2 linked regions of the Macaca fascicularis genome follow. The protein of the gene in region 2 purifies or fractionates together with the protein of the main gene of each other region. This does not show direct contact. Links are inferred from orthologs where the notes say so. Each region holds a gene or a part of one and is shown on either strand. Other genes may lie near its edges.

Region 1 (3,414 bases), on a different chromosome or scaffold from region 2:
CTCAAACTCCTGGCCTGAAGTGATCCTCCTGCCTCAGTCTCCCAAAGTGCTGGGATTACAGGTGTGAGCCATCGCACCCTGCCAATAATTGTGTATATTTATGGCATATAATGTGATATTCTGATCTATGTATAGATAAAGATTAAATCAAACATACCTAGTACAAGGTTGAAGAAGTTCTGTTGTATTTTAACAACCTAGAATTTCAATTTAGTCATGGGAAACTGCACTGGACTCATCATGCAACATACTACATAAAGGCCTATGTTCAAGGCCAGGAATCACTTCCCTAATAGGTCAGTATTTTACGTAAGTTATTTATTGTGTGCAGTTAAGTTTCAGAAGATGTGAAATCTAAACATACTTATTAGTAAACTGTGCTGACAGAATTCTACTTATTCCAGCCGTGTGTGTCTGTGTCTGTGTGTGTGTGTGTATCCTATGAACTAAAGGTACAGTTTCATTTGAATTTACATTTATGTTCTGGATTGCATACACATATTCATCACTAAGTTTTGTCGCTTTCTTGAGCTTTCACCTTAACTGCTTTTCCTTGAAGATGCCTTAGATTTGTGGATCCTGTTTAGTTCATGGTGTTCTTTGAAAATCTGATGAACACACTGACTACTCTTTTCCTCCTCCCCAAAACATTACACATATAGTAGTCCCCTGTTATCCGCAGTTTCAGCTACTTGTGTTCAACTGTGATCCAAAAATAGATGAGTACAGTACAGTAAGATACTTCGAGAGAGATCACATTCACATATATTTGATTACAGTATGTTGTTGTAATTGTTTTTTTATTATTGTTAATTTCTTGCTGTGCCTAATTTATAAATTAAACCTCATAATTTAGAAAGTTTATAAATTGAACTTTAAAGGTTGTAAATTTAACGGGGGGTCTTGGAACATAATCCCTCAAGATAAGGGGGGAGACTCTGTAAAATTTCACAGAATTTTAGAGGGCTCATAAGTCCCTCTGAAGAACCCTGATTTGCAGCATTACTGCCACCTTCCTGTTGGGATATTAAAACAATTTACCTCTTGCTATAGGAACACAAATGGTTCTACAATTTCAAATTATTCACAAATTCTGTTCCCTACCCCCGATCACATTACCTGGTTTCACAGGTGTGGACTGAGAAGGTGGAATCTGCACCGTAAATCTTTGGCTTGTCACTGACATTGGAGTTGCAACTTTATTTGGGACAGACACTGTTTGTGGGGTTGCTGTAGTTACAATAAACAGACCATGTTTGTTAGGTGATTTATACACATTTATATTCTACACTCAGCTTACCGCAAACTATCTTCAAAGCAAAGGAAACTAATAAAAGGTAAGGAAAAAGTCATTAAAAATAAGAGCAAAAGAACCTTAAAAAATTTACAAGCTTGCTTAGATGTTACAAAATTCAGTTTAGAATAGTGGTAAAGAATGTTGGCTCTGTAGCCTACCTGCTTGAGTTTGAATTCAGGCTCTCACCTACTAGCTGAGTGTCCCTGGGCAAGTTATTTAAATTTTTGTGCCTCAGTTTTCTCCTCTGTAAAATGGGGGATAATATCACCTATTTCATATAATTCTTGTGAAAATTAAGTAAAACTAATCCCTGTAAAACTCTTCAAACAGCATCTGTTACATAGTAAGCACTGAGGTTTAGCTGGATGAAGACATAAAGATGAGAGTTTAACCTACCAGAATAAAGACCCAGGTTTTCTATTTATTACCTTAGTTGGCACTTTTCATCTTGGTCGCTTGCTGAGAATCAGAAGATGTCATCTATGCCCATGAAACTAAAGCAGAGATCAAATATACCCCTTGAGGTCTCCAGGTGGGCCCAGAAAATTTATTCCCTTTCTGTGTTCGGATACTTAAGCAGAAAAATATCTTGGAGATAACCTAGTCTAAACCCCCAATCATCTAAATTCTACCCATTATTCCAAGGTACAACTCAAATACTACCCCGTTTTATAAAACTTTCCTTAATTTTCTCAGTTAAATGTCTTATATTCTGCCTCTGAAGTTCCCTTAATGTCATAGGAGTCATTATTACTATCTTATCTCACTGACTAGATTACAAGCTTGGTTAACATTTTTCATCCTTGTGAGCACACGGCTCTTTTACCTTGCTCCTAATAGCTACTCAACAAATGTTTGCTTAATAAATGTATTTTGCAAGACTCGAAGACTTTATATACTGACATCATTGCTCTCTCAAAAAATACATTTATGGAAATGTATCCATTTCCAATTTTTCATTTGGGGATGCAGGCTATCCAATACATCCCTTCCCCCTGGAACCAGCAGCCTACCCAGAGATAGAGTTGCTGAGGACACTACAATTATCATTTCTAGAGAAAAAGGTGCAGAAAGTCTAAGGGAAGAAAGCTCAAAGGTACCGAGAAATCTGGGTTTTACTGCTTTCTCTCCCAAACACAGAAGGTGAGACCTTCCTCTAAAATATCTCCATCCCTAAGTAAGTTTTCCCATGTATTAAGGATCAGTCCAAAGAATTTGGTGAAGCGTAATGAAGCAATGTAAGTATTTTATTTTATAAAGAAAAAAGAAAATTCACAGTAGGTGAATGTTTTCTTGGCCTTAGGATTGTTAATACATTTAAGCAGGTATGGAGTTCAGGCTTTAAAACTGAACACATTAGACTGTAGATGGAGCCTCCCCAAATTGAACAGAGTAAATACTCAGGTCTTAAGGTCTATATAAATCATTTTAATTTTTTTTTTTTTTTTTGAGACAGAGTCTTACTCTGTCGCCCAAGCTGGAGTGCAGTGGCATGACCTCTGCTCACTGTAACCTCTGCCTCTTGGGTTCAAGTGATTCTCGTTCCTCAGCCTCCCGAGTAGCTGGGATTACAGGCACCCCTCACCATGCCCGGCTAATTTTTGTATTTTTAGTAGAGACGGGGTTTCACCATGTTGGCCAGGCTGGTCTTGAACTCCTGACCTCAAGTGATAGGCCCGCCTCGGCCTCCCAAAGTGCTGGGTTTACAGGCATGAGCCACCGCACCTGGCCAACTCATTTTAATTTTTTTTAAAGTTTAAAACTTGCATCTTTAGGCCTGGCGTGGTGGTTAGTATTAAAAACAGTTTTTTTCTTTGAGATCCTTAAGATTTTTGTACATCTTAATCTTCTACTGTATTCTCTTATCTATTTGGAAATTTAAATTTCTAATAAGCAGTCTACTGCCATAAGTGTGTGTGGCACCTTATAGAAGGCACAAAGTACACAGCTAAGAGTAAACTCCTGTTTTTGGTATCAGAGTTTATACCACCAACAGTGGGGGCAATGTCCAATTTTATACTCATTTGAGATCAGACGTTTCTTGTGGCTTTCTCATTTTGAAAGCCAGTAACATGTATGTTTATAGTTTTATTAGAGGATGAGTAAAATTATTAATA
Region 2 (3,820 bases):
ATTTGCTTTGTACAGAGACCACACAGTAACACAGAAGCACTGGGGAAGGATGGTCCAAATGCCAAAGGCTGAGCATGTGAGCCCTTCTTTCTTTTTGGAGGAGTGGTGGTCTCCCTCTGTAACCCAGGCTGGAGTGCAGTGGCACAATGATAGCTCACTGCAGCCTTGAACTCCTGGGTTCAAGCAGTCTTCCCACCTTGGCCTCCCTAGCAGCTGGGACCACAGGCACATGTCACCACTCCCAGCTTTTTGTTTTTCGTAGGCGGGGTCTCGCTACATTGCCCAAGCTGGCCTCCTAGGCTCCCAGAGTGCTGGGATTACAGGCGTGAGCCACCACGCCCAGCCAGCCCCCTTATTTTTTACTCAGCTTGAGTCTCAGTCTTTCCATCTGTAAAATAGTATCAGACTTTGCAGTATGTTCTGAAAACAGGAGGCAAAGATGGGAGTAGGTGAATAAAATACGCCATATGCTTGCTAAACGCCGGCTGTCTCTCGGGGGGTCGGGGGCGCAGGTGCAGGGACAGGGGCTTCGGTTACCAGCAGAAGGCTCTGCACATGGTCTGCTCCAATCCGGTCAATGTTGCTCAACACAGGGCCGTCCAGCACACTGCGGATCCGCTCCCCTTCCTGCTGTAGCCGGGGCAGAATCAGAGTCTTGATAACCTGTTGGAAGGGAAAGGAAGAAACCAAAGCCGGAGGGTCACCAGGGTCTCCCAGGTGGGGGCACAGTGCCCTCTATAACCTCATGACTGCGTCCCCTCCCCCATTTCTTCCTCCCAGAGGCCTAACATCGTGTCCCAGCTCAGCCAAGCCTGCGATGGAGCCATAACGAGTCGTCCAGGGCGTCTTCTCGTCCACCCAGCTCTGTAAGGGGAAGGAAATAAACTAAGATGAAGGGGTCTGAAAGGATGATTGATAGGGACCCACGTCTTTCATAGACACTTTCCTTGTAAATCATTAAGACATGACAGTGAGGCCAGGCGCGGTGGCTCACGCCTGTAATCCCAGCACTTTGGGAAGCTGAGGCAGGCAGATCACCTGAGGTCAGGAGTTCAAGACCAGCCTAGTTAACATGGTGAAACCCTGTCTCTACTAAAAACACAAAAATTAGCCAGTTGTGGCCAGGCACAGTGGCTCACACCTGTAATCCTGGCACTTTGGGAGGCTGAGGCAGGCAGATCACCTGAGGTCGGGAGTTCTAGACCAGCCTGACCAACATGGAGAAACCCCGTCTCTACTAAAAATACAAAATTAGCTGGGTGTGGTGGCACATGCCTGTAATCCCAGCTACTCAGGAGGCTGAGGCAAGAGAATCGTTGGAACCCAGGAGGCGGAGGTTGCAGTGGGCCGAGATCGCATCATTGCACTCCAGCCTGGACAACAAGAGCAAAACTCCGTCTCAAAAAATAAATAAATAAATAAATTAGCCAATTATGGCTGCAGGCACCTGTAATCCCAAGTACTCAGGAGGCTGAGGCAGGAGAATTGCTTGAACCCAGGAGGCAGAGGGTGCAGTGAGCAGAGATCGCACCACTGCACTCCAGCCTGGGCAAGAGTGAGACTCCATCTCAAAAAAAAAAAAAAAGGCATTACAGACAAGCCTCAAGGCCCTTAGAGCCCCACAAGTTCCAGTCCCTCTTCCCTCTGCCCTTGTTTCCAGTGTCACTTCCCCCAACCAGAGGTGGCCAGTGATGAAACCAATGGTGCTCAAGTTTCCCTGGCTCACCTTGGTGAAGGTCTTGGTGATTCGGGACTGGATGTTGTTAGTGGTTGTGCTAAAATGCTTGCAGATCTGGGCCACCAGGCGGGCAGCAAAGTCTCGGAGTGCCCAGTGATTGTCCACATCTGGTCGCAGGCACAGCTGTCTGCTCACGATGCAGGTCATCACAGCCGGAATCAGCTCATGGACCTAAGGGAGAAAGGGCGGGGCAGCTGATTCTGGTTTTGTTTGTTTGAAACAAAGTCTCACTCTGTCACCCAGGCTGGTGTGCAGGGGCACAATCATGGCTCGCTGCAGCCTCAATCATCCAGGCTCAAGCAATCCTCCCATCTCAGCTTCCCAGGTAGCTGGGACCACAGGTATGCACCACCATGCCTGGCTAATTTTGTTTTTGTTATCTTTTTTTGTAGAGACAGTAGTCCTACTACTATCCTCAGGTTGTCCTCAAACTGCTGAGCTCAAGCGATCCTCCCATCTCGGCCTCCCAAAGTTGCTGGGATTTCAAGTGTGAGCCACCGCTGACCACTGACTTCCTGTTGGTGGCAGCAGGGTCCCTGGTCCCTGGAAGGGAAGGTGGGCAGGACCACTCACGTATTTTTCTAGATAGAGCGTGGGGTTGTCCATCAGCGCCTTCACCATACGCATCAGGTAGATGAGTAGGGCCAGGTTGTTCTGAACCACATTCACACGGACCTGCGGGAGGGAGGAGTGCTGGGCATGGGGCAGGGAGACCCTCACAGGAGCTTCCGCTGCCGTCCCTGCACAGTGGAACCTCATGCTCTCACCCCCTCCGAGATGAAGGTACTGAACCGTGGCAGCATCTGATACAGCCCGGGGTCCGTGGCAATGCTTTGCAGGGCTTCCTGTGGGAGGAGGGAAGCCAGTCAGGTGGGGGTAGGATGTGGGGAGCAATTCATAGGACCCCCAGGAGGAGGAGTCTCAGGGCCAGGGCAGGCTGGTGGGGCCCTCACCGCCCTCTTGGCCTCGCAGGAGCCCACACAGGCCTCGGTGATCTCCTTGTAGTAGAGCTGTTGCTCCACAGACAACTCATGGATGCTCCGGGGCTTCAGTCGCAAGGGGGCCCCCTCCAGCAAGGGCGGTGCCTTCTTCTCTTTCCCTGTGTGATTGGAGAGGTGGGTCTGACAAAGAAAGCTCCAGAAGAAACCTCAGTAACAGAAGAACCTTAACCCTCCACTTCCCCTGAGACTCAGGAGACCCAGCTTCTTCTTAGGCTTCCCCATCCTTTCTGGGGCTCTCTGGCCCACTTCACCAATGGCCACATGGAGGCTTGGCATGGTGGCTCACACCTGTAATCCCAGCACTTTGGGAGGCCAAGGCAGGCGGATCACATGAGGGTGAGTTTGAGACCAACCTGGCCTACATAGCAAAACCCTATCTCTACTAAAAAAAACTACAAAAATTAGCTGGGCGTGGTGGTGGGCACCTGTAATCCCAGCTACTCAGGAGGCTGAGGCTGCAGTGAGCTGAGATTGTGCCACTACACTCTGGCCTGGGTGACAGAGTGAAACTCTGTCTCAAAAACAAAAAAAGGATACAAAACAAATGGCCACGTGGCTTTGGGCAAGAGTACAGAGAGGCCTGGCCTAGGAGGACTGACCTTTGCCGTCAGCTGCGGTGGCCCCTTGACCTTTGCCCTTCAGGGGTCCGTCTTCCTCTTGGCCTGGCTTGGCTGACTTCAGGGGTTCTGTGGCTTCGGCCTTCTGTTGCTCTTTGGGAGCTGGTGGGAAAGCAGGCACAGTGGGAGGCGTGACGAGAGTAGCAGGAAAAGTAAAGGGAGGAGGCTGGATGCGGTGGCTCACGCCTGTAATCCCAGCACTTTGGGAGGCCAGGGCGGGTGGATCACCTCAGGTCAGAAGTTCGAGACCAGCCTGGCCAACATGGTGAAACCTCATCTCTACTAAAATTACAAAAAATTAGCTGGGCGTGGTGGTGTGTGCCTGTAGCTCTAGCTACTCAGGAGGCTGAAGCACAACAATCGCGTGAACCCAGGAGGCAGAGGTTGCAGTGAGCCGAGATTGTGCCACTGCAGTCCAGCACTCCCGCACTCCAGCACAGGCAACAGAGTGAGACTCCATCAAA

What was found.
Region 1: the proteins of TAF6 (region 2) and TAF9B fractionate together in Homo sapiens (co-fractionation; 3 studies listed by BioGRID, with this or other methods). This does not show direct contact. The link is inferred for Macaca fascicularis from reciprocal best matches to the Homo sapiens genes TAF6 and TAF9B.

What each region holds. Positions count from the first base shown.
Region 1 is NC_088395.1:84,643,784-84,647,197, forward strand, and holds part of TAF9B (transcription initiation factor TFIID subunit 9B), read right to left. Parts: intron 1,231-3,414; coding exon 1,120-1,230; intron 1-1,119. UniProt on the Homo sapiens protein: Essential for cell viability. TAF9 and TAF9B are involved in transcriptional activation as well as repression of distinct but overlapping sets of genes. May have a role in gene regulation associated with apoptosis.
Region 2 is NC_088377.1:48,763,609-48,767,428, forward strand, and holds part of TAF6 (transcription initiation factor TFIID subunit 6), read right to left. Parts: intron 3,459-3,820; coding exon 3,339-3,458; intron 2,838-3,338; coding exon 2,692-2,837; intron 2,584-2,691; coding exon 2,506-2,583; intron 2,414-2,505; coding exon 2,312-2,413; intron 1,910-2,311; coding exon 1,727-1,909; intron 865-1,726; coding exon 790-864; intron 664-789; coding exon 538-663; intron 1-537. UniProt on the Homo sapiens protein: The TFIID basal transcription factor complex plays a major role in the initiation of RNA polymerase II (Pol II)-dependent transcription.